Linked DNA regions of Mus musculus: regions 1, 3 and 4 are each reported to be linked to region 2. The links are microRNA targets in miRTarBase. Many come from high-throughput screens and were not tested one by one. Region 2 holds a microRNA gene; each other region holds the end of a gene's coding sequence.

Region 1 (7,827 bases), not on the chromosome of region 2:
ATTGGACTCAGAGCCTGGCTTTTTGGAGCAAGCATTTCACTGCTGAGCCATCTCACTGTCCCGTGGCCTCTATTTGAGATGTCTCTGACTGAACCTGAAGCTCATTCGCTTACCTTGGTTCACAGGTCAATGAACTTCAAGGATCTGACCGTCCCCTCACTGCCCATTGTCCCTAGAGTCGTCTGAAGTCAGTGAAGTCTTAGAATGTCCTTTAGAAGTCTTGTTTTCAGTCTGGACCATGAGCCCAGTGCAGTGCACGCTAAGCACACAGTCTACCCTTGAGCCGTCTCCCCAGCTCATTGCATCATTTTACATTTTATTTATTGTCAGGTCCACCAGGCTGGGCTAACTTGCGATTATTCAGAACTTCCTCATCATATCAGCACAGAAGAAGAAATTGAGTATCTTATTCAGTCTGTGTATTTTCTATTAAAAAGTCTACCAAAACCTACTCTTGTGACAATTGCAAGGTAAGTGTGTGGCCCATCCAAGATGTCCATACCCTGCTCTCTGGAACCTGTGGGTGCCTTGTCTCTGTGGCAGTAGGGACTTTGCAGTGCAGTGGATATAAGGATTTTGAAATGAGATGATCCTAAATTACCTGACTGGAGTCAGTATTGTCACAGGATGCCTAGAAAGAGGAGCCAGAAATAGCAGAATCAATGGAGATAAAGTTAGAAGATGGTGTCCTGCCGTCTTTGAAGGTGGGGAACAGGGCTGTCAGTGAAGAAGGCAGGTAGTATCCGGGTGCTAGGAATGCTGAAAGAACAGGACCTCTCCTAAAGCTGTGTGTTTTAAACCCCACTCACCCGTGGCCCTACCCCCACCACACACACGCGCGCGCGCGCACACACACACACACACACACAGAAAAGATGGCTGAGCAATGGAGAACATTGGCAGCTCTTGGAGAGGACCTGAGTTCTGTTCCTAGCACCCAACATTGGATAGCTCACCACTCCAACTCCAATCTTAGGGTATCCAGTGTTCTGTCCTAGACTCTGTGGACACCGGCACACATGGCTGCACATTCACACATACAATACAAACACATAAAAATAAAGCTTTAAGAAAAAAAAAATGGCCTTACCCTGAAATACAGCCCTTTCTCACCTATGTGGAGATGGTGAGCTTGCTGAAGGTGATCTGGGGAGGTGGCTGAGGGTAAAGTGCTTGCCACCCAACAATACAGGCCTGAGTTCAGCTGTGGTAGCCATGCTTAAGATAGGCACTTAGAGGCAAAGGCAGGAAGGTCACAGGAACTGTGGGACCTTCCTGGTCTACACAACCAGTCTGAGGCCTTGGGGTCTGCTTAGCAATGTCCCATCTCGATATCAAATACCAATCCTTAGTATTATACCTGTCCTATAGAATATCATTTTAGAAAACAATAAAGGACAATTCCTGTAAAGCACCAAAAGTGGGGTAAGCATCTCCCTGCTCTCAGCCGTGACTCCACAGTCGCCTGTGGCCCTCGCTGGCAGCAGTGCACTGGCTGTGCCTCCACACGGGCGACTTTGTTCTCACTCTGCTCTGCCCCCTTTCCGCTTGGTTCCAGGTCAAGTCTGGATGATTACTGTCCTCCGGAACAAGTTGACATGATTCAGGGAAAGGTCCTCGATGTGCTGCACTCACTCTACGGGACCCTGGACACTCACCTGGTGTACTCAGAAGAGTCCCCTCTGAGCTGAGACCGTGCTAGGCTGCTGTGCAGTTTGGCGCAGTGACAGACCCGGCTTTTGTTTCTGGGCTTCCAGAGTGCACTTTCTTGTTAACTCTCAGTTGGAATCAGAAATCTCCACGCAAGTATCAGTGACCAACCACATACAACACTTGGGGTAGACGCAGGGGTTCTTGTTTGGTTTTATTGTTTTCACATCAAATCCGTTACCCCGGTTGATGGAGACTGTCTGTTATCTTCCTTGCTTCCCATCGCTGCCTTTGATTCTGTAAGAGGGGTTTTTTTTTTTTCTCTTTCCCCAACAAGGGTTTGGATGATATGAGATTTATTTATTTATTCGCTGATGTTTACTTAGCACTTTTGAGAGCCAGACTCTGTTAAAGACAAGCTGCTCTGTCCTCGTGTGGGAGACCTGAGAAGCAAATAAGGGCCCACAGCAGTCTCAGGGAAAAGGGAGAGCCACGGCTGCGTCTGGAGAACTGTCGGCTCTCAGGGCACCCTTGACCATAAGTATAAAGTAACATTCGCAGATGGCATGTCAGAAGACCCTTGCCAGTCCATGACGGTGCTTGCAGAAAGTCTGCCGCGCTAAGCGTGTTGGAATTGTGCCCACGCGGTTGCTGGATCTTCTCCAGACTTGTTTGTATGCAAGGGGTCTGGTTGAATACACCTAAGCAAAATTTTGTTGTTGTTGTAGGTTTTGTTTGGGTTGTTTGTTTCTTTTTGGTTGGTTGGTTGGTTTGGTTTGGTTTGGGGTTTTTGTTTGTTTTTTGGTTTTTTTTTGAGACAGGGTTTCTCTGTGTAGCCCTGGCTGTCCTGGAACTCACTCTGTAGACCAGGCTGGCCTCGAACTCAGAAATCTGCCTGCCTCTGCCTCCCAAATGCTGGGATTAAAGATGTACGCCACCATGCCCGGCCGTTTGTTTTTGATGGGTTGGTTTTGATTTTCTGAGATGACGGGGTTTCTCTATGTATCCCTGATAGCCCTGGAACTCGGTCTGTAGCCCAGTCTGACCTCAAACTCAAAAGATCCGCCTGCCTCTGCCTCCCAAGTGCTGGGATTACAGGCGTGCACCACCACTGCCCAGCTGCTTACAGTGGAAACGCCTTTTGGGAGTTTTGCCTTGGTGGTCATTATAGTCCTCAGTTGGCATTAAGCATTTAAGCACTAGGTGTCATTTTCTTGGCAGTCAGTCAATCAGTCGAGTGGTTAGAAAGTTGCTAAGCAGATAAGGGCACTTGCTGCTCTTGCAGAAGGCTGGAGTTCAGTTCCTAGTACCCATATGGCAGCCCACAACCTCACAACTCCAGTGTTCTCTTGTGGCCTCCAAAACTACACACGCATGCGTGTACATACCCACATGTAAACATATAAACATAAAGTTTTTATTGGAAAGACCTGTCACTGCATAGAGAAGAGAATGTTTTCTGCGCCGTGCATTGAAGATGATGCTTCATATATTTAATGAGCCAAGTTTGCCCTTAGCCAGAGAGTGGCTGCAGCCACTACTATTTACCCTGAGTTCCCACCCCACCAGGCGTGAATGGGACCGTCTTTATCCTAGAAGCTAATTTCTGCTTGCCTGTTCCCTGCACTTTTGTTCAGTAATTACTTTATAACTGCTTAATTTCTTTAAAGGGTAAGATGATATGTAAAGAAAAAATAAATATCCATCACTCCTGGCGAGCACAGTAGCTTTTGTCTTCACAGCCCGTTTTCAACCCTCGCCTGCACGTGGGCCTGGAGAGGGGAGTAGCCAGGATCAGAGTGACCTACCTCGAAGCGGCCAGTTCTCCAGGATGCCTTACCCTTGCCCTGCGGTGCGTACTCTTCCTACCGTGCTCATGTTTTCCTCTGGCGAATTCTCTTGGCACTGAGGAAATTGACAAAAATCCAATACTATGAAAGCTTGTTTGTATTGTGGAAATAAAACCAACTGATAGCCTTCCATCCTGATAATCAAAAGATTTGTGTTCTTCCAAACTCAGAACTGTAAAATTGTTTTTAAGCTCTGAAAATGTCTTGTTAAAGAGTTCTATAACTAGACATTTCTAGGAATAAATTAGTCTATGTGCAAAATGAAATTAAATCCTGTATTTGGAAGCTTTAAGGGTTTCAGGTCAAACTATAGAACTAATTCTTCTTCGTGTCAGTGCATGGACTTAATTGAGTTTTAGCTGTTTTGGTTTTGGTTTTTTATTGTTGATGGGTTACTGTAACTGCAGTGGACTCTGATGTGAGTCATCATTTTTTAAACCTGGGTTGGATAAAACTTTTTAAATTACTAAATAAAATAAGCATCTACTAACATTTTTAATTTTTTATTATTTTAGTGTGTTGCATGTATATGTGTGTACCACATGGCTTTAGTGTCCATGGAAGCCAGAGAAGGTGTCCAATCCCCTGGACTTGGAGCCAGTACTCTTAACTGCTCTGCCATCTTTTCAACTCCCTAAGATTTAACTTTTATTTAAAAATTTTTACATACAATGTATTTTGTATAATTCCTCCCAGATCCCCCCTTCCTACTCCATGGTCTATCTCTCAAAAACAAAAAAGGAAAGAGGAAAAAAAAAGGTCAAAAAAGGTACCAAAAGTCACACACAAAAAACACAAGAGTATTTTGTGTAGGCCAACTGCCCCTTTCATGGTACTTGCCACTAGAATTGTCGACATGCCCAGTAGCGCTCCTCTGGAGAAAACTCATTAAACTCATTGCCCCTTTCCCAGAAAATACCAATTATAGATAGCTTTTTAGTAGCAGGTAGGGCTTTCTTCCTACTTTCTCTTCTCAGTGCTGGGATTTTGTCTGCTTTTAACCTTTGCGGGTCTTGTGCGTGCTGCCACAGTCTCTGTAGTTCGCATGCCCGTCGGTCTTCTCTCTTTGGTGTCATCCACCACTCTCACCATCTTCCCACCTCCTCTTCCACGTAGATCCGTAAGTCTTGAGGGCAGGGGGTAATGGAGACGTTCCACTGAGGGCTGTGCGCCGAGGTCTCCAGCTCTGCCCATTGCTCAGTTATGGGTTTCTGAATTAATTACGACAAAGCAGCATCTCTGATGAGGGGTGGACAATACTCTGATCTATGCGTATAGCAGTGTGTCGTTAGGAGTCATTTCATTGCTCTGTACCATTGGCAAGATTCTAGTAGGTTTTCCCCTTAGCCCTATGACCAATTTAGTCCCAGGTATCTTGCCACTTGAGCAGTGCCAAGCATATCTTCCATCTTAACAAAGTCTTCAATCCAATCGTAACGCTTGCACCACTGTTGAAACCGTGTTTGTAAGTTGTAGGGTTTGTAGCCAGGTGATGCCAGTGACCACTTTACTCCTCCAACATGCAAAGTACCTTCCAGCACTGTGGACAGTAGTCAGCAGGGATGAGACTTCTGGCTGGGCACCAGCGCAGGCCAGTTCTGCTTCTGCCTTCCGTGTGTTCAGGCACTGTAGCTCAGCTGCCTGGCATGAAAGCATAAGCAGGTTTGTCCAGGCTTATCCAGGCCGGGTGGGTTTGCAGGAACACGCTTGTCTTGAATGCCGGGGGTGGGGGGGGCGATGGTGGGGGGGTTGTTTTTGTGGAGGAAGAAGCCTTCTCTGAGAGTTTTCAGTGTTACCGCTTCTTTATTAGGGGGTTAATAAGGGCTATATAAACCTTGGGGAGTGGGTAGCAGGTTGGGATGTAAATTATTAACTGGTGCTGCGGTGCTGGGAACGCTTCATTTGCATGAAGAGGAATTCCAGGTGCTTGATGAACATGTCCTTGTAGGCAGAGAGCACATTACTCCTGTAATTCGGCTATCAGGCTGCATGGCTACCTCGGTGGTGGACGAGGGAGTTGCAGGCCCCGAAGAGGAAAGAAGCAATCCTTACTCCTGCCAGTCTCAAGATGAGTTTTGGGAGTTTGGACATGTCTCAACCTCACCGTTGTCCCAGGCCTGTTCCCCAAGTCACACCTCTCACTTGCCCCACACACCAGCTTTCTTTCTCTGTTTGATGACATAAGAAAGGTCACTTCAGCGACTGGGCCTTACCTTTCAGTTCTGATCAATAGCCAATAGCCTTGACAATAGCCTGTGATGTTTAGGGGACTGTCTATGGAACCCCTTTGCCAACCCAGTAACATTTTTAATCTTGTACGTACATGGTCAAGGATGGTTGGATCTTTTGTGATCTGACATGAATAAGACCTGAAGAGAATCATGTTCCAAAGAGGAAAGCATAACCTTTGACATCATTTTCCAAGAACTGTGTCTATGAAGTTTAGATCCCTAAAGTTACCCTGCGTTGGGTGAGCATTGCTGACCACTGAAGCAGCGACGTTTCTTCCCCACCTCTGGTTCTTTCCATCCACTTAGAAGCACAGCTATAGCCCTGCGCTGCCTCTCTATTCCTTCCTGGGTCAAAGAGTAAATGAAGGAACATGGGATCTTTTCTTCTAGAAGGATTTGTTCTGCTGTCTTCATCCTCCGATGCAAAGTTTTGAAAGTAGGCCTATGATGGTTTGTCTATCCTTGGACCAGGGAGTGGCACCATCTGGAGGTGTGGCCTTGTTGGAATAGGTGTGACCTGGTTGGAATGGGTGTGTCACTGTGGGTGTGGGTATAAGATCCTCACCCTAGTTGCCTGGAAGTCAATCTCCCACTAGCAGCCTTTGGATGAAGATGTAGAACTCTCAGGTCTGCCTGCGCCATGACAGCCTGGATGCTGCCATGCTCCCACCTTGATGATAATGGACTGAACCTTTGAACCTGTGAACCTGTAAGCCAGCCCCAATTAAATGTTGTTTTTTATAAGACTTGACTTGGTCATGGTGTCTGTTCACATCAGTAAAACCCTAACTAAGACAAGGCCCCAAAGAGTAGCTAACAGGGGTGCCAATGGATGACCAACTCCACCTTAAGAAAGCTGTTGCTCAGAGCTGTAATCCTGTCCCTTATCAACAGCTGTAATGGTGATACAGTTATTTAGAAAATTAAGAGAGAAAGGTGATGTCATTTGGGCCTCAAATTGCAATATAACACTCGCTTTGTGGGGGGAAAAATGAAATTCTGACAAAAAAGAAATTCTCTCAATATAAAAATTTTAGGTGCTACATAACAGAGCTTTTTAAACTCTTTATTTGCTTTTGAGTATTAATAGACTAGTAATTTGACTTTTATCTGGTATCATACTGAGACAGGCCACACAGTGCCTTAGAGAGATTCCCAGATAAATAGCATATAGTCATAAAATGTCAGCAAATAGGATGTTATAATTCAAAGCGAGATACCCACAAATTAGACTTTAGTGTAACTTGCACAAATAGAACTTCATATTAAATAACACAAATGAGGATATGACTATAGAAAGATATGATATACTGATATAAACAGTATTCAATATTCAGGCACCCACACATTAGCATGTGGCTGTTATAAAATCAAGCAAAAGCACCATGTGTTTGACGTTGATACGTCTGTCAAGCTGTGGAGGCCACCAGAACTGCACAGCAAGGCTCTGCATCAAAAACCAACAAGGCAGCTGATACTGAGGGCCAAAGACAAAAAGTGCAGATCACTGGGGCTTTGCTCATCGCTCCAGTTCTGCTCTGCTCTTCCAGGGATCTCAGGTAGGTGTCTGCTTCCCTCCTGAGAAAGTCAGAGGCCTCTTCTAAGCAGCCACAACAGTTCCCCTCTAAAAGTGGCCAAAAGGCATCCCAGACCAGTGTTGCCTCCCAGACATTTACAGCAGCCAGGTTGGTTGGTGTGACTAGATCAGAGACAAACAGTCGGGAATGATCTTTGGCCCTTGGTCAGTGGCTTCCAGGAAGCCTTTTCTCAAGTAGCAGTTCTTCTCCTGTGCCATTCTAAGCTTTGCACTATCCAAGGCCATCAGCTTGTGTTTAATGGTTGCCTCCATCATCTTCGTTTGCATCCTCTGCCATTCGAGGCCCCACAAAGCTCTTGCTGCCTCCCTCCTTCCCTTTCTAGGCCTTATCTTCATTGCCCAGGTGTTGGGATTACAGGTGTGAGTAACCACATACACCCTAGGACACTTTCACTTTAACTCATGAAACTGATTTTACACTTCAGATGTATAAGTGAACAAAGATACCAGGAAAATATTGAAAAATAAACATAACAGATTATATACTGAATGTGTAATT
Region 2 (7,000 bases):
AAAGGGAAATGGGTGGGTGGGTGGACAAATGGGTAAAGAGATAGGAAATGGAGGGGAGGCAGGTGGGTAGGTGGGTGGGTGGGTGGGTAGGAAAATAGGTGGAGGGTCAGTGGTAGTCTGTGGACAGTAGGTGGAAGAATGGACAGAGTTCTTTTGCTCTCTGCAGCTCCCTTACCTGCGGCTCTCTACCTGCTGCTGTGGGCTGAGACTGCCATCAGCACCGCAGACAGCGCCATTCCTGTGTGCTGGTCTTTCTCCCTAGATACCATGAAAGGGGACAATGCTGTTGGAACCAGGGTTTCTCTGAAACCTGGGCGGTTGCCAGTTTTCTGAAACCTGGGCCTGAATCAGCATTTGTGTGTTCGACTGGGGAGAGCAGAGGGCCCAGATTGAATTGCTTCTAACTCCTTCCTAAGATCATATGAAACCAGAAATTTTGGTCTTCTCTCCTTTGGGGCCATCCTTAGGGACAGATGGCCTTGAGTAAGGGGTCACTGACAGAAGATGCTGTCTTATTCTGCATCTATAACCCTCCATGACTTTCCTAACTCACAAACCTGCCATCTGCTCGCCCTGCTGCTGGCACCTGGACTCCCTACAAGAAAGTAATAACATGGGACTCCAGAGTAAGAACCAAACTGTACCCTGGAACCATTTCTGCCGATCCATCTTGCTCTGTGTCTCCTCCTGGCCTGAGGTTAGGGGCTGACCTCACAGACTGGAATCTGATATCTTCCTCCAAAGGGAGATTCCCTGGGAGCTCCTCTGCCTGTCTGCTTTTTTCCATCCCTCTGGGTCAGGCTCTTCTGGTCCCTCCGAGTGCTTCTCTGCCTCTCCCCATCATACCCTAGGCGATGTCCATCTGTCACACACTGCTCTCCTGTCTTGCCATGTCATTTCCACCTCCACATCCTGGCTCTCTCTCCGGGAAGGCTTCTCTGCCCACCCTCCTTCTCTTTCCTGCATATCCCCACCCCAATCACTCCTGTCTCTCCTGCCCACTCCTCCCCCAGATCTCCAAGAAATCATCCTGAGAACATGGGGGGAGAACATCAACAGACAGAATGCAGCCATGAATAGAGGTGCCAGAAAGTGGTCACGGTAGGGAAAACCAGGAGCCTGGAGCAGATGCCACCTGCCCCCCTCTCTGTCTCCATCCTCTTGTTCTGGAGAGCAATGCACACATTTCCTAATCTTTCCTGGAGAATGGGGAGTGCATCTATCTCCATGCCCAGGGCACACCTCCATTAGCCAGAGCTAGGTTACTTAGTATAACTATTTAAGAGGACTCCTTGAAACTCAGAATAGGAAAGTCCCTAGCCCAAGCCCAAGTCCAGAAGCCCAGTTTTCCTCTCTGGCTCTTCACAGCTGCCCAGACACAAGGCAGAAAACAGAGGAAGCAGGAGAAGGTGGCTCCTTTCCCTCCCCACCGCCCACGCCTGCCACCTGCCCAAAGAGCTGTTTCTAACAGACCTGTCACCTGAAAATATTACAAGAGCTGCTTGTGTGTGCTAACACTTGCATCCACGACTTCCCAGTAGCAAGGCTGAGCTGGGCCAGAAGCAAAAGGAAAGGAAAGAGACTAGGTGATGTTGGGCAACCCAGATGCCAAGTGAGCCACCTCATAAGCCCTGAGTGACTCTGGCTATGGGGAAGGGAAGGTACCTTTCTCAGGTACTGATTGTGGTTGCAGATGTCCCTCAGTGGTTTCCAAAGTACGGCATGGCCCAGAGTCACCTGGAGGACTGTTGAAATACACAGTGCTGTCCCCACCCCAGAATTTCTGCATCAGCTGGTCTGGGAAGAGGTTGATGAATTTGCACTACCAACTCCCCAATTTCTAGCTGCTGCTGGCCTGAGACGTGCCTTTCACTCACCCCACTTTAGAGGCACAGGGGTGTAAAGACCGGGATGTAGGGAAGGTAGATCCTTTCTCCAGTGAGGGTAGCCATGGGGACAGCTGGATGCTACCCCCACATGAAGAGACTCCACAAGAAAGATCCCCAAGGAGAGGAGGCATAAGGGTGAGAAAGGAGAAAAGGAGCTGTGGCCATCGTTGAGTTGGTGACACAGGGGCACGTGGAAGGAGCCACCTGCAGCTCAAGAGCCAAGTACTACAGGAAGGGGCCCCCTTGTCCTCCTTTTCTCTCTCCCCCACCCCCTTTCTTTTGCCCACCATGCCCTCTTCCCCCTTAGCCCACCACCCTTCGAAGACTCTGGCTTCAGTTGTTACTCCAACAGGGCCGCGTCTCCAGCCTCCGAGCCACACTGGAGACACGTGCACTGTAGAATACACCTGCGCCTGTCCTGGCGCCTCCCAGGGGAACCTCCACTCCCTGAGGGGGACCCTTGGGACAACTGTTGGCTTCTCTCATCCCTTACCATAGCTGGTCCCCCCCTGGACCTCCCACTCCTCCCCAACCAGGCTGAACTTCTACCCCAGGCACTCCCACTGTACTGACCCCTTTAAAGCCATCCAGGGCCAAGTGTGGTGATAGAGAGTGGGAAGGAGGAGAAGCAGCCAGGTGGGAAGGCAGGGGTTGTTAGTCCTCTCAGACTGACAGTCTACTCTCCAGTCTAGAAGGGAAAGATTAGGGAAATGGAAAGAGGAGGGAGACAAGAGCCCAGTATCGGGAGGAGGTGATGGCCCTGGCCTGGAAGCTTTAAGATGAGTTGAGTTGGGTCAGACTTTGACTTCTCCTCACCCTACCCATCTTCAGTTGCCTCCTCCACACAGTAGGACCACTCTGTCCCCATAGCCCTCAGGTTTCTAACCAGTAAGGCCCAGCTCCCATACATGTCACCATAGTCTCCTCACAATTCCCGTCATCTTGGTTTCCTGTGGTCTCTAACCTTCCTGCCTCTGTGACCATGAGAGTTGAATTGAATACAGTGGGACAGTCACTGGGGACTGTGGTGAGTATCTGTGACTCAGAGCTGTGTCTGGGGAGATGTTTTGGCATCAAGGAAGCTTGGGTACACTGTTCCCCAGGGTGTACAAGAAAGAAGAGACTCTGGGAATCAATACCCCGAGAAAGGGTCTCGGTGAACTGGCTGGCCTCCTGCTCCGGTTTCTATGAGCCTGAATGTCTACGACCCCACCTCTCATGTGGCCTTGGAGATAGGACCAGAGCTTGACCCAGCAAGCCTAGAAGCCTCTGCAAGTCAGACATAATGGTCCACTCAGGAGAAAGGAATGTCGAGTGACTAGCTGGACCAGTGTCAGGAAGGGAAGTATGCCAAAGGAAAAGATATGGTCAGACAAGAGTGGGTGGGTGAGAGAGCCAGTGATGGTCTGCTCACTCGGACCCTCACAACTTGATGGATGCTCCTTCCCGGTGCTGTGTGTCATCACCTTGCCACACTGCCCTCTCTGGCTCCCCCATCAGGCCAGGAGCTTTTGGGGGAAAGGACAGCATCCTGATTGTCCCATAGCTCTTCTGCTCTTAGCATCATCTAGTCTCCAATGAGAGCCCAGAAATGGTGGAGGCCAGCGACCTCCTGAGCAGAGAAGTGGAGTTCCTGGAGGTCCCAGGTGGGGAGACAATGGCGGTCTCTGTATCCCAAGTCTGGCGTGATGAGAGACGTAGACAAACAGCCCACGGAATGAGAGGATGCTTTTCCCTGAGAACTTTTGACAGCATTTTCAAGGTATCTGGCAAGCCAGGAGACCTTCTGCTCTTCAGGATCATCTCCAAGTGGGAAAAGCCTAGGGTCCCAGGAAGAGCAGGTGAGCAGCACCTCTTATTCAAGGACGTCATCTACATGGGGAACACCTGTCTCCACCCCAGTCCTCCTGGGAATTCCTATGAGACCAACGTCTTTAGACCTCAGGTGTCATGACATTGGATGCCCAGTTTGGTATGGGGTGTATGGAAGGTCAGAGGAGACAAAAAAAAAAAAAAATAGCCAGGTTCTCCCCTAAAGGCATGGGGCGAGGCCCTCTCTCCTGTGGCTTTGGACTTCTCAAGTCCTGCTTTGGCCAAGGGATAGACTTGTCATCTCTCCAATGTTGGAATGGGACTGGGTGTCTCTCTCTAGGCCTGGGTGGAGCCTCTTGTCTCCCGCTCTTCCATTGTCCCCTTCCCTCCTGTGCCCACAATAGATAATAAATGCTAAATGGCACTGACTTGACACAGGGCGATGTATGGCTTACAGAAGGGCAGGAAGGGAGGGCTGACCAGGGGTGCTGGGCAGAGAACTAAGTGTCCCATGGTACCTGCCTGGTGGTTGGTCCTGAGTGTCCCCAGCCCTCCCAGTACCTCCCCAGGGACCTCTGTGTCTGCTTGTCTTGGTGTGTCTCTTTGGTGTATGTCGATTCCACAGCCTCATGTTGCTTCCTCCTCTGACTGTATTTGGCTCCATCCTCACAACTTGGCTCGTCCCAACTGTTCCCCAAATCCCAGGAGAATGGGAGTATGAGACATACAGGGACAGAGACCAATTCAGAAACAAGGAAACACGTGAGAGTCAGAAGGGGATAGGAGACAGGACTGTCGAGGCCAGGACCAGCCGGGGAAGACCCCCAACATACAAGGAAACCCTTTAAGGAAACCTAGGGAGGAGAGATTCCTCCTCTACGCTGACTCCTGCCCTTCTTTTCACTCTCTCTGCCCCTGCTGGAATGTGTGAGCACTTTTATTGTTCCTAAAAATAGCCCTTCTTTACTGGGGGGGGGGGGGTGCCGGGGGGGCTGGTGTGAGGAATCTTCTGGAGAGGGTTCATCTCAGGCATGCTCCTGTCTTTGTGTTTCTCTCTGGGCTCCCTCACCCTGTGCAGCACTTTGCTAAAACATAAGTGTGACCCACGAGTTCCCACTCCCCTGTGGAGTGGCCCTGTTCCCTGTTCCTCTGAGGTCTGGGTTCCTAGATTGGGAGGAGCTGTTGGCAACTTTCCCATGGCAGCTCCAGAGCAGCATCCAGAGCAGAGGACACTGACGTTTTGAGTTATTTCTCTGCCCAGTCTCTTCAAACTCAGGCCTTTGCTCAATGGGTGACTTTCACCCATGACCCTCTTTATCCCTTTCAGATTGGCACTCTTGTCCCCCCATTTCCTACACCCCAGTATCCTCTCTTCTCTTGTGACCTTTCAGGCCCAGCCCTGGCCTGGTTCAGGAGCCTGTCTGGTTCCCTGGCTCTCATCTCTATCTCTTCTCTCCCTGCTCCTTACATATAGCAGGGCAGGGGCTAGGCCTCAGGGACCCAGCACATCCTCCAGGGAACCATGAAGTTGCTGGGGAAACCTTGTAGGCTCCGGGGGCCCCATGTATTGCATCTGTACTCTTATTATCCCCTCCAGGTCTCCACACCCCCATCCTATTTTCATTTGTTCTAGATCCCAAGTGTCATTGTCTCTCTCAATCTCCAAGGGACTCACCTCCTCCCTACCTCCATTTTTCAGCTGAGAGAACCAATCCCCAGAGAGAGGCACAGCAGAAACTGGCCAGGACCTTCGTCACTGTGCATTGATGTACAGGATCCCAGCTGGTGGGGTTCCAGGGACAAAAGCAGGCTCTTCATGCACTCATCCAGCCCCACCCAGCAGCAGGCTGGCATCCAAAGCTATTTATTTGCCTTTGGAGGGCCCAGAAGCTAGAGAACAAACATCCGGATTCTGCAGAAATTCTCCCACTCTCCCTCCTCATATCCTCAGGGCCTGGAAGCTGGGGCCAGACATACATGTACACACACACACACACACACACACACACACACACACACACACACACACACACACACATGCTTACACAGTTCCATACACACCAGAGTTGGGTGAGCCAGGGGTCTCTGAAAGACAATACCCTCCTCCCAGAGCCTCAGACCCTCTGGGTAATGCAAAACAAGTTTTATTTTGCAAAGGAGACTCTTAACAGCATTTGAGACTATTTTCTTGTTGTGAAACTCTGGGTACATTCATCAGAACTGGCTTTTTTTTTACCCCTCATTCTTTGGAGAGCTGGGAGCTCTTACTTTACTGGTGACCTAAACACATGCCATCCATAATAGTGTGTCCCTAAGGACCATCACATGACCATAGCGGAATATGTCCCTTGGGTCATGAGAGAAACATCTGTGGTGTGAAAGTATGTGGTCTATGCTTCTGTGGAAAACTGTAGAAGAGCAAAGTGCATGTATCCATGTATCCGCTGTATCCATGTGGCCCTATGTGTATCTTTAAGGTTGACTGAGTCTGCTATGTTCATGAGTGTGTGGCTGTCTGGGAGATCATGAATGCCCTGGTGTCTGGTCCTGTGTCTAAATGAGCATATAAGTCTGTCGCTGAGTGTTGGCATCTCCAGAGTCAGAGTCTCTGCCATGTGCACGGCTCCCCTCCTCCATCGCCTTCCTGAGAGCAGGACCCACCTCTCTGCTCCAGCACATGCCACACGTGCTCAACAGATCTTAAAAAGCAACAACAAAACAGCCACACAACCAACCAACCAAACATCCTCCCTGGCTTCAATGGTCTGATCAGCAAACAGTACCTTCCCCAGAGCTAGAATCTACCAAGGTTTGTCTCAGTGGACTGTAGGTGGCTGGACCACCTTTGGGCAAGTCGAGAAAGGCAAGTCTGCATGAGGAGAGAGGGCCCCAGTTCCAGTCTCAGCTCCTCTGGAGGCCAAGAGATAATATGTATGGCTAAGATGCACTGACCTTGGAGAAAACAAGCAAATTGCAGGCCCTTTTCTCCCTGTCCCACCTCCAGGACAGCCTGGGGACTAGAGGGACTCTGACTTGAATTAGAATGCTACATTTTAGATGAGGCCTGCAGGACAACCCTCCCTCCATTCCCTAACTCCTAGGACTCTCCCACCTTGACCCAACATTGAACCCTCCATCTCCATGGCCCAGGAAGAATGTCCTACAGGAGCCATGAGGGGCACGAATTGCAGCTGAGATACTGGGCCCATTTAGCCCAGCCTGGGGGCTCTGAGACAGCTCAACCCAACTCTCATGTACTAGGAAGCAGGCCCAGAGTCAGGTAGAAACTCAACTAGGGA
Region 3 (7,745 bases), not on the chromosome of region 2:
TAAAATAAAAGAGGTCTGGGTGGTAGAGGCAGGCCTGTAGAGAGCAAGGACTTCCCACAGTCTTCTCTTGCCTAGAGAAGGAATGACCCTAGGTTCAATCTCCAGCACCACCATTAACACACGTGCACACGTGTGTGCGCTTGCACGTGCCCTCGTGCGCGCGTACACACACACACACACACACACACACACACACACACACACACACACAGAGCAAATGAAAAGAACCCTGTTAGCAATTTAACTACAGTGCCTGTGTAAACTTGGTAGGGGCATAAATAACCTGTTAGAGCTCTAGGTTTCTCTTGACCTGAACTTCCTTTGATTCTTTAACCCTGTAGAGTAGACAACAAGCTCAGAGCTCTAGACACACAGTTCAAAGAACTGGACGTCACCAAGGATAATCTGACGCTTCGATTTGAACACCATAGCAAGACTTTGGCAAGCCAAGCAGCCCAGGATGAGATATGGACAGCAGCTCTGGCCCTTGGGTGAGCAGTGGTTAAGAAATCCTGGCTTTTGTGGCTTTGTGAGAGCTTTTAGTGGCTATTCCAAAACCGAGCTTGGCACGATCCCCACAGGTGTCGCTTGGGCTCGGTTCCTCCACACAGAAGGCGTTAGTCTGAGCACCTGTTTACCTGCCAGGCACTGCAGCATACACTTTCTGGGTCTCTTACCTGCTGTCTTACTGATGGGAAGGGAGTAAAGAAGTTCCTGCTCCATGCACAGCGCCCCCTATGGGTGGCCTGGGAACTTGGCTATGCAGTTGGTGCAGGTCATACTTCCGAAATTCGCAGCTGTTTTTTCTAGAGGGTTTACATTGCACCAACATAATCAAATGCAGCTTTTGTTTGTGCATGAAATGTTCCATTTAAGGAGCTTTGCCCGTTTTTCATAGGTTCACCTCAATGGAACTGAATATTGTATACAGCTATGTCATCGAGGTCCTTATTTGCTTGCACACTCGAATGCTTCAGAAACTCCCAGACCTGGTGAGAAGTCTCCCGACCTTAGCCTCTGTCCTTAGAAGAAAAGCCAAGAACAAGCATGTTAGGCTTGTGTGGGAGTCTGTCCTGCAGGAGTACGGGCTGCAGGAGAGGGATGTCTCAGCACTCTGTACCTTCTTCATTGTACATGGCAACAAAGGAGAGCACTATGCTGCCAACGTAAGACGGATGTACATCAAAGATGTTTCCTTCATGATCACCAACATGGTAAAGAACCAGGCTCTACAGGATGGATTGCTTAGAGCTGTTCAGATCATCGAGAAGGGGAAACAAGCACAGGACCCTGAAAACTCAAGGGCACCCCTAAAAGAGTTGATGCCCCCAGTTAAAGACTAACCTGTTACCTTTGACCCAGCAGTTCCACTCTCGGTCATTTGTATTTTTTTTCCCCCAAGACAGGGTTTCTCTGTACGGCCCTGGCTGTCCTGGAACTCACTCTGTAGACCAGGCTGGCCTTGAACTCAGAAATCCACCTGCCTCTGCCTCCCAAGTGCTGGGATTAAAGGCGTGCGCCACCACTGCCCGGCGGTCATTTGTATTTTAAAAACCAAAAAAATGCATAATTTAATTTTTATAGGCTTATTTTATAGCAAAAGTGGAAGGAACATTAAAGAAATTATGACAAATGGATACAATGTACATTGTGTGTGTAGCCATATTTGAAAAAGAAGCAAATATTTTATAATGAAGTAGAATTTGGGGTGTAGCCCAGAGTACATTTTTTTTTTTTTTTTTTGGTTTTTCGAGACAGGGTTTCTCTGTGTAGTCCTGGCTGTCCTGGAACTCACTCTGTAGACCAGGCTGGCCTCGAACTCAGAAATCAGCCTGCCTCTGCCTCCCGAGTGCTGGGATTAAAGGCGTGCGCCACCACCACCCAGCTACATTTTTTTTTTGTATGTATGAGGCCCTGAGTTCAATCCCTGATACCACCAAATACATAATAAAGAAATTTATATGGAATCATTACTCAGATTTGGTGTTTTATTTATAATGTTATATACAAAAAGGGGCAAAAACAATTTTATACACACACACACACACACACACACACAATTTTTTGTTCACGACATAGTTTCTCTGTGTCTGTAGCCTCAGCTGGCTTTAAACCTGGATATTTGCCTGCCTCTGTTTCCCAAGTGCTGGATAGCCATGGCTGCCCAGCATACCTATAATATCTTCAAAGGATACTGTGTATAAGTTTAGATATATCCACTTCTGCAGTGATACTTAAGTGATGTGGGGTTTTTTTGGGGGGGGTGGGGGTAGAGGACTAAGAATCTAAGAGTCAAAGGGAAAGAAATTGTTTTCACTGGCTAGTAGAACTTCTCTAGACAGGACATGACATCATTGTCTCGAATCAGAGAAGCTGTGATTGGCCACAGCACAGGGTCATGAGATCAGTCCTACTGCCATTTCCTCGTTGATGGAAAAGGGAAATGCTACTTTCCCCTGAGTCTCCAACCCCAGACCTAGGCTGTACATACTCTTGCTCCAGCCACACCTAATCTTCAGGGACGCTAGACTATACAGGAGGTGGGACGCTAGACTGTACAGGAGGTGGGACGCTAGACTGTACAGGAGGTGGGACGCTAGACTGTACAGGAGGTGGGATGCTAGACTGTACAGGAGGTGGGACGCTAGACTGTACAGGAGGTGGGACGCTAGACTGTACAGGAGGTGGGACGCTAGACTGTACAGGAGGTGGGCAGTTGATTGGGGTTCAGAATGCAGTGGTGCAGCTTTGGGGGTCATCCCCACACGGAGGTGGGGATTTTAGATGGTTTGCCTTCAAGTCATCCATGCCTCTGTAAGTAACCCACACCCATGCTCCTGTAAGACCAATGAACTCATTGGTTCACCACGCTGGACTTGGTTGGAATCTCTTCTTTGGTCTGTCTTTGCCCTGTCTAGGCGAAACAGACATTTCTTTATATTTCCCTAGGAAGAGTCAGACTGCTTGCTCAATTTGAACATTTTGAATTTTGAATGCCTTTTGAAGGGCAATTAATCAATTGAAAGCATGAAATAATAGGGGTGGAGAGATGACTCAGTGGCTGAGAGCATGTATAGTTCTTCCAGAGGACCAGAGTTCCACTCCCAGCACCTATGTCAGTGTCTCAGCCACAGCTCCAGGACAGTCTTGCTACTTTCTGCCAAGCTTGTGGGCCTTAAGTCGTTAGAAAGGAAGCTGAAGACCTCAGTGGACTGTGACACAGAAAGAAGTATAAATGCCAAGTTGTCACAGATCTGAGGAACAGAAACCATAACCAAGGCAACTCTTTCTTTTTTTTCTCTCTCTTTTTTTGGTTTGGTTTTTCTGAGACAGGGTTTCTCTGTATAGCCCTGGCTGTCCTGGATCTCACTTTGTAGACCAGGCTGGGATTGAACTCAGAAATCCACCTGCCTCTGCCTCCCGAGTGCTGGGATTAAAGGCGTGTGCCACCACGCCTGGCCACAAGGCAACTCTTATGACAATATTTAATCAGGGCTGGCTTACAAATTGAGAGGTTCAATCCATTATCAAGGTGCCAGAGCATGGCAACATCCAGGCAGGCATGGTGCAGGAGGAGCTGAGAGTTCTACATTTTCATCTGAAGGCTGCTAGCAGAATACTGCTTCCAGGCAGCTAGGATGAGGGTCTTAAAGCCCACACCCATAGTGACTCACCTACTCCAACTGGGCCACACCTTCTAATAGTCCCATTCCCTGGGCCAAGGATATGCAAACCATCACAGACTCCAACTCCAGGTCCTCCTGTTTCTGCCTCTGCCTTTGCTACCTAAATGCCTCAATTACAAGACACACGTGTCCATGCCTAGTTCAGAGGTCCTTCCTTCCTTCCTTCCTTCCTTTTTGAAACAGAGTCTCTTACTAAACTCACTGTATAGACCAGGCTGATCTCTACCTCACAGAGACCCTCCTGCCTCTGCCTGCAATGTTTTGGGAACCAGCTGACCAATTGAGGAAGGGTCTCATATAGCCCAGGTTGACCTGGAACCAGTTATGTAGCCAAGGCTAGTTTATAATAATCCTTTTGTGACTACTTCCCAAATGCTGGGATTGATTATAGAAATGGGTCTCTTGTTGAGTTCTTCAGACTCCACATACCAAACCCAATAGGCATTTACTCATGCTAAAGTCTGGGGTAGAGGGCCCAAGCCAAGCACCCCCAAAACAAGAGGGAAAGCAATAACAGCCAAATCTCTACATTGCTGTTTTAGCCAGTACCATAAGGATATCACCCCCACCTTATTTAACCTTTACAAGGATTCTTTGAAACCACAGGTGTAACTCTTTGTTGCTGCTCTCCTTGAGCGTCACTTGTCTATAAGGCCAATATCTGCTGCTCATTCTATAAAATGCTAGTGTTGCAAATAAATGCTAAGAAAAATCTTTAAGGTAAATTTGTTGTAATTTCTTCTTTTAGCACTAAGAACTTTAGAAAGCTTTGTTAGGAGAAGGGTAGCCTAAAGAATACTGAAAGAATAATTACAAAAATTCCTGTTCGGATCTTGGTTTAGAGAGTTACTTGAGTAAGCAAGATTCTGCAGCCTACAGTAGCCGAGCGACCAAAAGCGGGAGGAGTTGCTACTAGCAGGCTAGGCGGGAACGCAGACGCAGCTCCCGGAAGTCCCGCCCGACTGAGCGGTTCCTTGGGGGAAGACGTGCCGTTTTGGCGGGGAATTGTGACGTCCGTGGAGCCCGGGTACCTGCTCCGGCCGCGGCCAGTAGACCGATTGGCAGGACAGCGGGTGCGAGCGGCTGGGTCTCGGGACCCGGGGGGTACCGCGAGGTGTTCCAGAAGCTGGAGCGTGGGCACTGGAGGGCTGCCTCCACCGCAACGGCGAGACGGAAGTCCCGCGGCGGCCCGAGCCCGGATTCCGGGCGGTACCGGGTGCTCTGGGAGCGGCGGTGCCCGGGCTTCCGGCTCTGGCAAGCCCGGCCGCCTCGCGCGTAGAGGCGGGTCCTCACCGCGTAAGAAGGGGAGCTGGATGAGCGCTTGTGTGGCGCGGGGAGACAGAACCACTCTCCGCCCCGAGGCCGCCGACTCCCGGAGGAACGTTCTTTCATTCCCTTGCTGGACTCAGGGCATAACTGTTGACCTGACATCACAGCTCCTGCTTGTCTCGGGCCCGTGGGAACTCAGGCCTTCTGGATCTCAGTCCGCTGCTGTGTGTGAGAGTAAACACCAAACGGCTCGCTGCTTTTCTCCGTTCTGGGCGTGATTAGGCGAAAGACGACTTTAGTCCCTTTCTGATTTTAACGTTGGGTAGGTCTCATTAGCATATGAAGATGGCTGCACCTAAAACCTCCATCCCTTCCTTAGCCGAATGTCAGTGCGGGATCTGTATGGAAATCCTCCTAGAGCCTGTAACCCTACCTTGCAACCACACGCTCTGTAACCCATGCTTCCAGTCCACTGTTGAAAAGGCCAATCTATGCTGTCCCTTCTGTCGTCGCCGGGTCTCTTCGTGGACTCGGTACCATACCCGAAGAAATTCTCTGGTCAATACAGACCTGTGGGAGATTATTCAAAAACACTATGCAAAGGAATGCAAGCTTAGAATCTCTGGACAAGAATCAAAGGAAATCAGTAAGTAAAATTAAGCATGTTTATTGGGTAAAACGGCCCAAAATCCCTTTGAAAGGGAACCATTTTTGTTTTTGCTTTTCGAGAAAGGGTTCCTCTGTGTTGCCCTGGCTGTCCTGGAACTCACAATGTAGATCAGGCTGGCCTCGAACCCAGAGATCCACCTACCTCTGCTTCCTGAGTTCTGGGATTAAAGGTATGAGCCACCATCGCAGGGCTCGAACCATCATTTTCTAATTTAAAGAAAAAGAAAAAGAAGGCTAAATAGTCTGAATCGTGAGGATTTGTGGTTTTATAAGCCCTGCCCACACATCAGTTAAAGTCAAGGACAGAGTTACATCACGTGTAGTAATGGTCAAGTTGTGTTCATCTGCTGTGAATTAGGGTTTTTTTTTTTTTTTTAACATTTTTTTAGACATGTTTTGAGACACAGTTTTATTACTGTGTAGCATGGGATAGCCTTAGCCTCACAAATACTGGAGTTGCAGGTGTGCTATTACACACCTGTCCTTTATAATGTAGTAGTATTAGTGAGGGTTGCCCTTTATAAGGGCAGAATGGTAAGTATTTTTGTGGACTATATAGTCTACTGAAGACACTTGGTGAGCTCTGCCACTGTAGAACAAAAGCCACCGTAGTCAATACATTAATTTACATTACCCTTTGTAAATGAAGATAGTGCCTGTGTTTCCATAAAACTTTATGAAAAACAAAAAGTGGGGGGGCAGATTTGTCCTGTCAATGAATCATGGCTAAATAGCCCCTGTCTTAGAATATCACTATTACTGTTCTTAAGAACAATTCTTTATCTGTGGAGGTAGCAGAATTAAATAATTGCAGATACTTCGGAAGGGAAAACTTGAGATTTCTTATTTTTTAAAATATGTATTTAGAGTGTGTGAATGTAAGTGCCTCATGTGCATGTGGTGCAGAAGAGGCAGGAGAACTAGAACTGAGTGACAAAGTTATAGGTTGTCATGTGAGTACTTGGAACCAACCAAACCCAGGTACTCTGGAAGAACAGTAAGCATTCTTTTTTTTTTTTGAGACAGGGTTTCTCTGTGTAGCTCACTCTGTAGAGACCAGGCTGGCCTCGAACTCAGAAATCCTTCTGCCTCTGCCTCCCAAGTGCTTGAGTTAAAGGCGAAAATTTAATTTTTTGTAACCCAATTGAAAGATTTTTTTTGAATATATAGTTCTGTTTTCAGGTGGCTCAAATATGAAAAGGAAGGCCCTTCCTCTTAATCGCCTTTGAAATATGAGAACATATTAGTACAAACTTGTAAAATGTATAAAAATAGTAGGACAAAAAGGTAGAAGTGTCCAAGTGACATCAATGGATGGATAAACTAAATGTACATATCTGCAACAGAATATATTGCTCTTTCATTAAATGGAATTGTTAAAGTTGTAATGTGGGATGAAGGCTTTGTTCTAGCTGTCATTACTCAGGTGATTCCATATGGAGAGCATTAACGACATCATTGGATCAGTCCACTGATAAGTTTATCCCAGCTGGGCTGTTAGGTGAGGCCTGTCTGGAGGAAGTATACTGGAAATGCCTGTGACAGGTTTGCTTTTTGACTGCAGTTGAAGTGGGCACCTCTCCTCTACCAAGCTTTTTCACAATCATGTTTCTGCCTTGCACAGGCATAAAACCATAAATGCAAACCTCTGAACGAGCCAAACTAAATCTTTTCTCTCTCAAGTTATTTATGTGATGCATTTTGCCATAGCAAAACACAGGAACACAATTGACAGGTTCCAGATCATGGAAATAAAGAGGTGCAGACCAGCCTAGCCTGAAATCATAACAGTCTACCTGTTTCTTCCTTCAAGCTAGGACAAGAGGCCTGTGTTACTGTAAGACCTGGGGTAGGCCACAAATCCCAGACGAGCCCCCGCATATAAGACCCCCCCCCAAGCTGGGCCTCTGCTCAAGTCCCCGGATGAGCTGGCCGGCACCCCAAAGACTCGAGAGAAAATCACACCTGATGCAAACTGCAAGAGGTTTTATTTTCAGCTAGCTGAGGACGAACTCCACACGCTGAGCAAGGCAGGGGAGTTCAACCCTGAGCGGTAACAGTAGGGGGCTTTTAACAGCTAGCTGAGGAATTGGGAGGAGAGTTCTTCTCTGCCAGGTGTCC
Region 4 (7,818 bases), not on the chromosome of region 2:
ACCAGAAAGCCTTCAGTCGGTCGCATCCTCCACAGCTCTGGGCTCTTTGCCTCAGCAGGTGACTGGCTTCTTTAACACCTATTCGTGGAGGACCCCCCTGCAGGGCACCCCAATCTAGCCAGTGAAATAGTGAGAAAACATCTTCCCTCTAAGAAACCTAGTCCCTAGGGTAAGCTGTTTGTGGTGCAGCAGGGTGCTGTGTGGTAATTAGGATTGCTTGTATATATAGGAGTCTGTACCCTCTTCACAGCAAGGAAGCTGGGGTTCAGGTAGGGAAGCTACTGTTTTCCACACTGGACTCTGTAAGACAAGGCCTTCATCTACCAAAATAGGCAGCAGGAGACAAGGCAGCCTGCAAACTGGCGCCTAGAGAGCCCTGTAACCTGCCAAGGCTACCCAGCTGTGTTTATAGGAACATCTCTTTCTGCAGCTCCCAGCACCATTACCTACCTCAAGAAATCTCAATGGAAGGAAACTGCCCTTGGTTAACGGTTTGCCTTGGAGAAGGGCCTGGCTTAAAAAGCCTAAGGGAGGGCTGGTGAGATGGCTCAGTGGGTAAGAGCACCCGACTGCTCTTCCGAAGGTCTAGAGTTCAAATCCCAGCAACCACATGGTGGCTCACAACCATCTGTAACAAGATCTGACTCCCTCTTCTGGTGTGTCTGAAGACAGCTACAGTGTACTTACATATAATAATAAATAAATCTAAAAAAAAAAAAAAAGCCTAAGGGACAGAGATCATATAATCTGTTCTAGGTGGGGTTGGAGGTGGGGGTGGGGGTAGGGTAGGGGGTATAACTCTGTGGTCTGGAGGGGTTGTATACCAGGCCCATGAGCATGTGAGATCCAGGGAAGAGACATGCTTCCCCCAAGAGCTCACACCCTCACTTTTAAATGTTTAATGAGGCCTTGTTTCCTCTCCAGAAATTGCTACCCTGTGAGACCAAGCCAGTGACACTGCAGGAGATCGTGGCTGCCCAGCAGAATGGCTGTGTGAAGAGTGTGGCTGAGGCCTCAGAGCTAACCCTGGGCCCCACGTGCCCCCACCACATCCCAGTCCAGGTAGAGCAGGATGAGGATCCAGCCGCTGCCAGCCTAGACCACTGTACTATTGAGATCAGTGAGCTAGAGACCAACGTGTGAACCTGCAGGGCCGCAGCAGAGCCAAGCCAGACCCTGGGGTTTGGGCTAAGGGGTAGGAGCTAAACTCAAAACACACCTGGCGCAGGCTGGCACATTCCACCCTGACAGGCTAGTCAGTCACTGATGAGAAAGAGTGTCAAAAAAGAGACAACTATGTGCAGAGACCCATCAGCAACTATGGCTCTTGTGGCCCAGAACCTAGCTGTGACAGTTTCTACTACATGAGCACACAAAGGTACCTGGTAGGGGTCTTTGTCTATACTTTGTGGAAAAATAGTTTGGGAGCCCGAGAGCTAAAACCACTCCCTGAAAGAACAGTCATAGCCAGGATGCTAATTCAAGTCTTTGGAGTCTCCGCCACTCTGTTCTAATAAACAAGGCAGCCTGCAGGGAACAGTGAAAGAGGCTCTGCCTTCTCCAGGTCCCCACGGCCACAACAGCTTCCAACTCATGAAGATAGAACAACAGTGTCCCTGTTGCTGCCCCAGCTGTGTCCAGGCCAGGTCAACCCTGCCCCACCCCACAGCATGTGTGTTGGTTTTTTTAAAGATTTATTTATTTATTTTATGTATGTGAGTACACTGTAGCTATCTTCAGACACACCAGAAGAGGGGGGTCAGATTCCATTACAGATGGTTTGTGAGTCACCATGTGGTTGCTGGGATTTGAACACAGGACCTCTGGAAGAGCAGTCAGTGCTCTTAACCACTGAGCCATCTCTCCAGCCCACAGCATGTGGTTTTAACTCAGTAAAGTCTGGTCCATCCCAGGTCTGAGACCTTCTGCCTTCACACGTTACAAGCCTGTCCGTTTCTGTCCACCAGACCTCTCATCTAATATGGAGACTGATGTCCACTAGGGCTGGGAAGCCGAGCAGGTACAGCCCAGTCAGCCTTCCATGAGATGGGTGGGCAAGGTCGGCCATAAAGAGAAAGACCCAGCTTGGGATGCTCCGGCCAAGGGACTAGCAGTACCTTGGGGTCAGAACTCTTTGTGTGGCAAAATGGAACAAGAGTCCCTAGTCCCTTCCATGTTTGCGATAATGTGATAAATAAAAGTCTGTTTTTTTTTCAAGACTTATGGATGTGACAGACTATGTGTTTTGCTTTGTGCTTTGAGACAGGGTAAGGTAAGGCAGGGCTTGCCTTGCTTAAAAATCAGCTTGGTCTGGGCCCTGGCCCTGAAATCAAACCTCAGAAAAGGAAGAAATCTCAATGGAAGGAAGCTGCCCTTGATTAACGGTTTGCCTTGGAGAAGGGCCTGGCCCAAAAAGCCTAAGGGAAAGAGATTGTACAATCTGTTCTAGGTGGGGTTGGAGGTGGGGGTGGGGGTAGGGTAAGGGGTATAACTCTGTGGTCTGGAGAGGTTGTATACCAGGCCCATGAGCACATGAGACCCAGGAAAGAGACAGGCTTCCCCAAGAGCTCACACCCTCACTTTTAAACCATATCTACCTTCCTCCCTCGAGTGTAAAGACTCCAGGAAGGGCCTCAGATCTAGGACACCCCCACCCCCACCCCCCTCCATGCTACCACTCTCTATGGTTCTATTATGGGTCCACATGGCTATCCTTCGTCAGTTGATTGCTGACCATCTGGGAAAGCTCAAACGTCCCACCAGTTACTTTCTCCTTCATGTGAATGGACTTTATTTGACCTTCCCTGAGACCCCTAAGGAATCGAGTTGTTTGCCCCTGCTAGCCACAGGCAGGATTCTATAGTTTGGTGAACTTGACAGATGCCCACACATCTCTGGGGCAGAGAGATCCCTCGGCCATTTAGATCCACATCACTGCTAGGTTCAACTTCCCTACAGCTTTCAGTCCAACCCCAGCTCTCTCTCACTGGGGTGGCATAGTGGCTGTGCCCCTCACCTTGTCCCTGGGAATACCTAAAAAGACCTTGTCCCCAAATCAGCTCTGAAGGAGCCCTCAGACCCACCTTCTGCCACCTCTCTGTTTGGACAGCACAAACCACCCGGTAACATTAGTAACAGTACCTCCATGCAAAGGTGACTTTCCAGGTGGGTTCTAAATAGCCCAGGGCCCATGGGTCATCTGTTTGGAGGTTCAGCTTGGGGGAGGGGTCACAGGGGGAATGTGCAGGCCTGCATAGCAGTCCAACATTAAAGGCAGATGTCCACCCAGAAGTATATTACGCACCAGGCCTTCCTGCCTTGCTACTATGCCCCACCCCTCCTCTGTCTGTGCCACTCCCGTGGAGCCCCTCAGTCCTGGTGCTGGCCCTCCTTCCTCTGGTCAGGGGTGCTGCTTGCTGGATCTTGCCCACCCTGAGCAGATGCCAGCCCATTGCCTGGAGGGAAGCACACACAGACACAGCATGGTTGCAAGGGCAGGGATAATACTTTATATTAGTTTTTCTGTAACAGGAAAAAAATCAGCTTTGAGATTTTTATCTTCATATATATTTTTTTTTCTCCTTAAACAAAACCAAAGGTACCCAGAACTTCCCTGCAGAACTGAAGACCAACGCAGCTGCCACCACCCCACCCCACCCCCACCACGCACTGCTGCCTCTTTCTCTTCCAAGCCTTCTTGAGGCTGTTCTCTGAAAGTGCCTGTGACCTGCCAGGGCACAACAAAAAGGGACTCCCAGCAGTAGGAGTGCCCAGCACCTGGGGGGAGGAGGTGAGGCTGTGGTCGAAGGCAGAAGGTTCAAGTCCCCATAGGGAAGGCACAAAACAAAAGCCAGCTTTTGCGTCTCAAAGAGTGAAAAGCACCCGGCCACAGAGCAAGGAGACAACCCTGCGTCTCCAAGGGAGGGACCAGAGGACAAGGCACATGGCCAACTGTTTCCAACCAGAGCTGTCTGGAAGCAAGAGCTTTTGGTAGCATAGGTCACTCTGTGTAAGTGAATAGGGGAGAGGGTAGCTGCCTGAGTCTACCAGGCCAGTGTGGACTCAGAGGTGAGGGTGTGTGTGTGTGTGTGTGTGTGTGTGTGTGTGTGTGTGTGTGTGTGTGTGTGTCAGTGTGAGATTGTGCAGAGAGCCAGTTTGGAAGGTCATATGCAGCTGGCTATCTACGTGGCCAAACTGGGGGCGTGGTGGTGAAGTGGTATCTGCACGTGTCTGACTGTGTGACACATTGCTGGAAGGGGTGGGACACGAGACTGTGTTCAGCCCGTGTGACTTTCGGGTGCCTCTTGGGCTCAGCGTTGGGTGTGTCAGAAGGGGGCGCTCATGGGGCACAGGCCTGGGCTGCAGAAAGGAGTCCGGTAGTCCATCGTCCTGTGGAACATGTTGGAGAGTCAGGACTAGCTACAACCAGCCATTGGTGAAGTGGATCAAAGTAAGGGGGTGTCAGAAGCCAGGCTGCTGTGAGTGGGAAGAAGGAGGAGCCCCTGGGAGTGTAGAACCAGGAGGTTCCCAGCTCTGAATCCAGAGCTCCCTGGGGCTTCTTCCAGCAGTCCATTCAGTTGACTTAACCATGGCCAACATTCCACAAAGCGGGAAGCTTCTCCCTCACCCCAGAACTCCACAGTCCTTTTCATGAGAACCAGCAGTCCTCATGCGATAGCAATCACCCTTTCCTGCCGACCCCTGGCTTTTAAGGACTGTGCCTCAGGACAGAGACTCTACCTCGACGGCTGGCCTTGGAGTCAGGTTTGCCCCTCCAGGCTCACAGCCCTGTCACAAATCCTGCTCTCATGAGTGGACACCCTGTCTCCATCATCCGTCCACATAGCTGTCACTATATATCAACAACCCCCCTCCCCCCACTACCAGCTCCCCTCTGTTCCATGTTCTACTTCAAGTCAATATCCTCACTGTGGCCATGGCCACACCCTGGCCTCATAGTTCCCAGCACATTCCCTGAAGTCCTACCTAACCTTAGCCCTTCCGATCACTGCTCTCTGCCTGGACACTTGCTATCACCTCCCAGGTTTCAGCTTCCTCCCCATGCCTCTGCTACCAATATGTCCATCTGCCCCTCCTTCTTACCAAGCCTAGTGCCACAACCTGAACAAAAAGCCAGCCATAAGGAATCCAATTCTGTGCCATGGATAGAAAGCCAAGGTCCTCGGGCTGATGGGATTTGGGACCCAACCATCAAGCCTGACTGTGACGGCAGCCACTCAGTTCCCTGGCCCTCCTTCCACACTGGGACAGTTACCAACCTCCTGCAATCCTTCCAGCAGCCCTCATACCCATGCTGCTCAATGCACTACCCTCCCTCCACAGCATATCCCATGAGCATCCTTGCCACCAGTGCCAAAAGGAGTGCCAAACAGTTTTACCTGAGTTTTACGTGGCCTCCCCTTGGCTACTGCACTCCCTGCCTTCCCAGTCATCCTCTCCACCCCCACCTCTCCCTCAGTTGCTCCCTATGACGTCACAAGCATTCCATGTAGACACATTCAGTTATGGACAGCAGTACCCACCTCCAGACTCTGAGTACTGAAGCAGTTTTAGTCCCCTACCCCCTACATCTAGAGAAGTCCATGAATGTATTAAGTGTGTGTGTGAGTGTGGTCATATGTAAGCCTGTGTGAATAGGTACCCAGACACACCTCCATGCATATATCCATAGGCACATGTGTGCACACAGATATGGGCCTATGATTGTGTCTTGGACTAAAGTATGTATATATGTACACATGTGTAGATGCTTGTGTTACATGTATGTGTATGTATTAACTACCTATGGCTGTCCCCTCCCTCCCTGCCCTAGACAAGCTCTTCTAGCCCCTCAGTATCTAGCCCTATCTCAAGGCCTACAGTGATGAGATTCCCATCTCCAGCCCAGGCCTTTCCTCTGAGCCCCAGACTTAGGAGTCTCTGTACCCCAGAGTATCTCCCAGCACAGTACTCATCTCCCTGAGCTAGAGTAAATGCCTTAGCACAAACTGGCTTCTGTGGGCAAGCAGACACACACACATACACACACACACACACACACACACACACACACATACACACACATACACACACACATACACGCATACACACATACATGTACACATAGATACATACACCTACGCATACATACACACATATACACACATACACACACATACAAACACACATACACATATACACACATACATACACATACAAACACACACACACACACACACACACCTCACATGGTGCAATCCTGCATGCAAACGAAATGACAGGTTTTCAAAATGAAGGGATAGAACAGAGACAGGGTGAAGTTGACACACAGAAAGCCAAGGCAGGTCAGGGACAGCAGGGAGTGGTGAGAGGTGCCTTCACACCCGCACAGACCACCCACCTGGGTTTCATCCATGTCACTTTGTCCTATCTAGTTTCCTCTTCCTCATCTTCCTCTTCCTCCTCTTCTTCCTCTTCCTCATCTTTGTCCTTGGAACCATTACCAAACTCAAAGTTGCCTTCAATGTCCAAGACCTGCAGGTGTTTCAGCCTCCGGAAGGCGCTTTCCACCACGGAGCCCACAGCCAGCTTGTTGAACCTGAGTGGTGGTCCATGGGTCAGCGGCAGGAGGCCTGGCTGATGCCCTCACACCTACCCAGCTCAGAGGGGAAAGGGGGGAGGGGTGGTATTTGGGAGTGCTACAGCAAGTTTTGAAGGGGGTGCGTGAAGAAGCACAGTACACCCCTGACAAAGAGATCTGTCAGGACACCGTTAGCTTGGAGGAAGGGGGTGGCAAAGGCAAGGAATGTCTCCTTCTATGCATAGTCACTTCATGTGCAGAGAGATGCCTCTGCTGCCCTTCCCCACTAACCTCAAGATCTGACTGGCACACAGGCAAGGCCTGGCTGAGCTGTAAGGAACGTACTCAGCCCAACACTGAAGGCCGGGTCATACCACCCAGTGTCACCACCCTGGGCCTGTCTTCTATTCTGTCTTCTCTCTGATTTGAGTGGGTCGAGTTGGAATGGGGGGTGGGGGAGCATCTGAGAAGAAGCCAGAGTCTGTGAGGTCTGAGTTCTCTGAAGTCCTAACCCCGGAGCCCAGTGGGGCCCCAGGCGTCTGTGTTCTTGGTCTGACACCTGAGCCCCACCTGGCTGACTGAACACAGCTGTCACCCATGTCTTCACAGCTGGGGGTTACTCGTGAGATGTTCTCTGGGCTTCCTCCTGTACCACATTAGCATCAACAGCACCCTGTACTTGTTTTGAATGTTTCTGATGCCACTAGCAGACCTGTGAGCCATTGCAGCCTGGCAGGGTATGCTCACTCTCGGGGGCTGAGGTGGCACGGGCTTGTGGGGGTCCTGCAGTGTACTCAGCCAGGCTCCACACCCACACTCTAGCTGCCAGCTGTTCCCCCAGCTCTCAGCTGTCCCTCTACTGTTATAGTGCTGTCTGGATGAGAGCAGGGCGGCAGGGACTTCCTACCTGAGAAAGATCCCCTTAAGGTTGGGAGTGGAGTCAAAGGCGTTGGCAGGAACGGCACTAATCTTGTTATTCTGCAGGTACAGATACTCCAGAGATGGGGGGAGCCCCTCAGGGACCTCTGTGAGCTGATTCCCAGCGATGTCCAGCAGCTGCAGGGGGGGGGGGGGGGATGTGCGTGTCAAGGACTTACCAGCTCACAGACTCCTACCAAGCCACAATCGATCTCTAGTGAGGGGAGGGGTCTGACAACCACGGTTTCCAGGTGGAGAAACAGCTCAGCGAGGTTAATCCCTTTGTAAGAGGCTGGAATGTGCTGAGCCAGACTCCACAC

What was found. The annotated mature microRNA mmu-miR-139-5p reads UCUACAGUGCACGUGUCUCCAG and lies in region 2 at 2,269-2,290, opposite strand. An mRNA with a match to its seed (bases 2 to 7 or 8) in the 3' UTR can be bound and repressed. Matches are read on the target gene's strand: a 7mer-m8 pairs with bases 2 to 8, a 7mer-A1 pairs with bases 2 to 7 and ends in A, and an 8mer does both.
Region 1: the mRNA of 6030458C11Rik is a reported target of mmu-miR-139-5p. Seed matches in the 3' UTR shown: 7mer-A1 at 2,510-2,516.
Region 3: the mRNA of Smco1 is a reported target of mmu-miR-139-5p. Seed matches in the 3' UTR shown: 7mer-A1 at 1,445-1,451 and 7mer-A1 at 1,797-1,803.
Region 4: miRTarBase lists Slc1a7 as a target of mmu-miR-139-5p. Seed matches in the 3' UTR shown: 7mer-m8 at 1,724-1,730.

Annotation. Positions count from the first base shown.
Region 1 is chr15:12,804,576-12,812,402 of GRCm38, reverse strand. It overlaps 6030458C11Rik (RIKEN cDNA 6030458C11 gene), which reads left to right. Exons shown (of 9, transcript NM_029998.3): 8 at 331-470; 9 at 1,559-4,226. The coding sequence ends at 1,691. Among named protein-coding and RNA genes, the nearest start is that of Gm41274, 10 kb to the right of the region's middle.
Region 2 is chr7:101,470,672-101,477,671 of GRCm38, reverse strand. It overlaps Mir139 (microRNA 139), which reads right to left and starts at 2,296; the gene lies at 2,229-2,296. All of the region lies in intron 1 of Pde2a (phosphodiesterase 2A, cGMP-stimulated), which reads right to left.
Region 3 is chr16:32,272,815-32,280,559 of GRCm38, forward strand. It overlaps Smco1 (single-pass membrane protein with coiled-coil domains 1), which reads left to right. Exons shown (of 3, transcript NM_183283.3): 2 at 342-491; 3 at 899-1,967. The coding sequence ends at 1,343. It overlaps Rnf168 (ring finger protein 168), which reads left to right and starts at 4,647. Exons shown (of 6, transcript NM_027355.2): 1 at 4,647-5,601. The coding sequence starts at 5,295.
Region 4 is chr4:108,011,307-108,019,124 of GRCm38, forward strand. Slc1a7 (solute carrier family 1 (glutamate transporter), member 7) reads left to right here. Exons shown (of 11, transcript NM_146255.3): 11 at 925-2,223. The coding sequence ends at 1,143. It overlaps Podn (podocan), which reads right to left. Exons shown (of 13, transcript NM_172874.4): 11 at 7,488-7,636; 12 at 6,401-6,598; 13 at 3,487-4,389. The coding sequence ends at 6,427. Among named protein-coding and RNA genes, the nearest start is that of Podn, 17 kb to the right of the region's middle.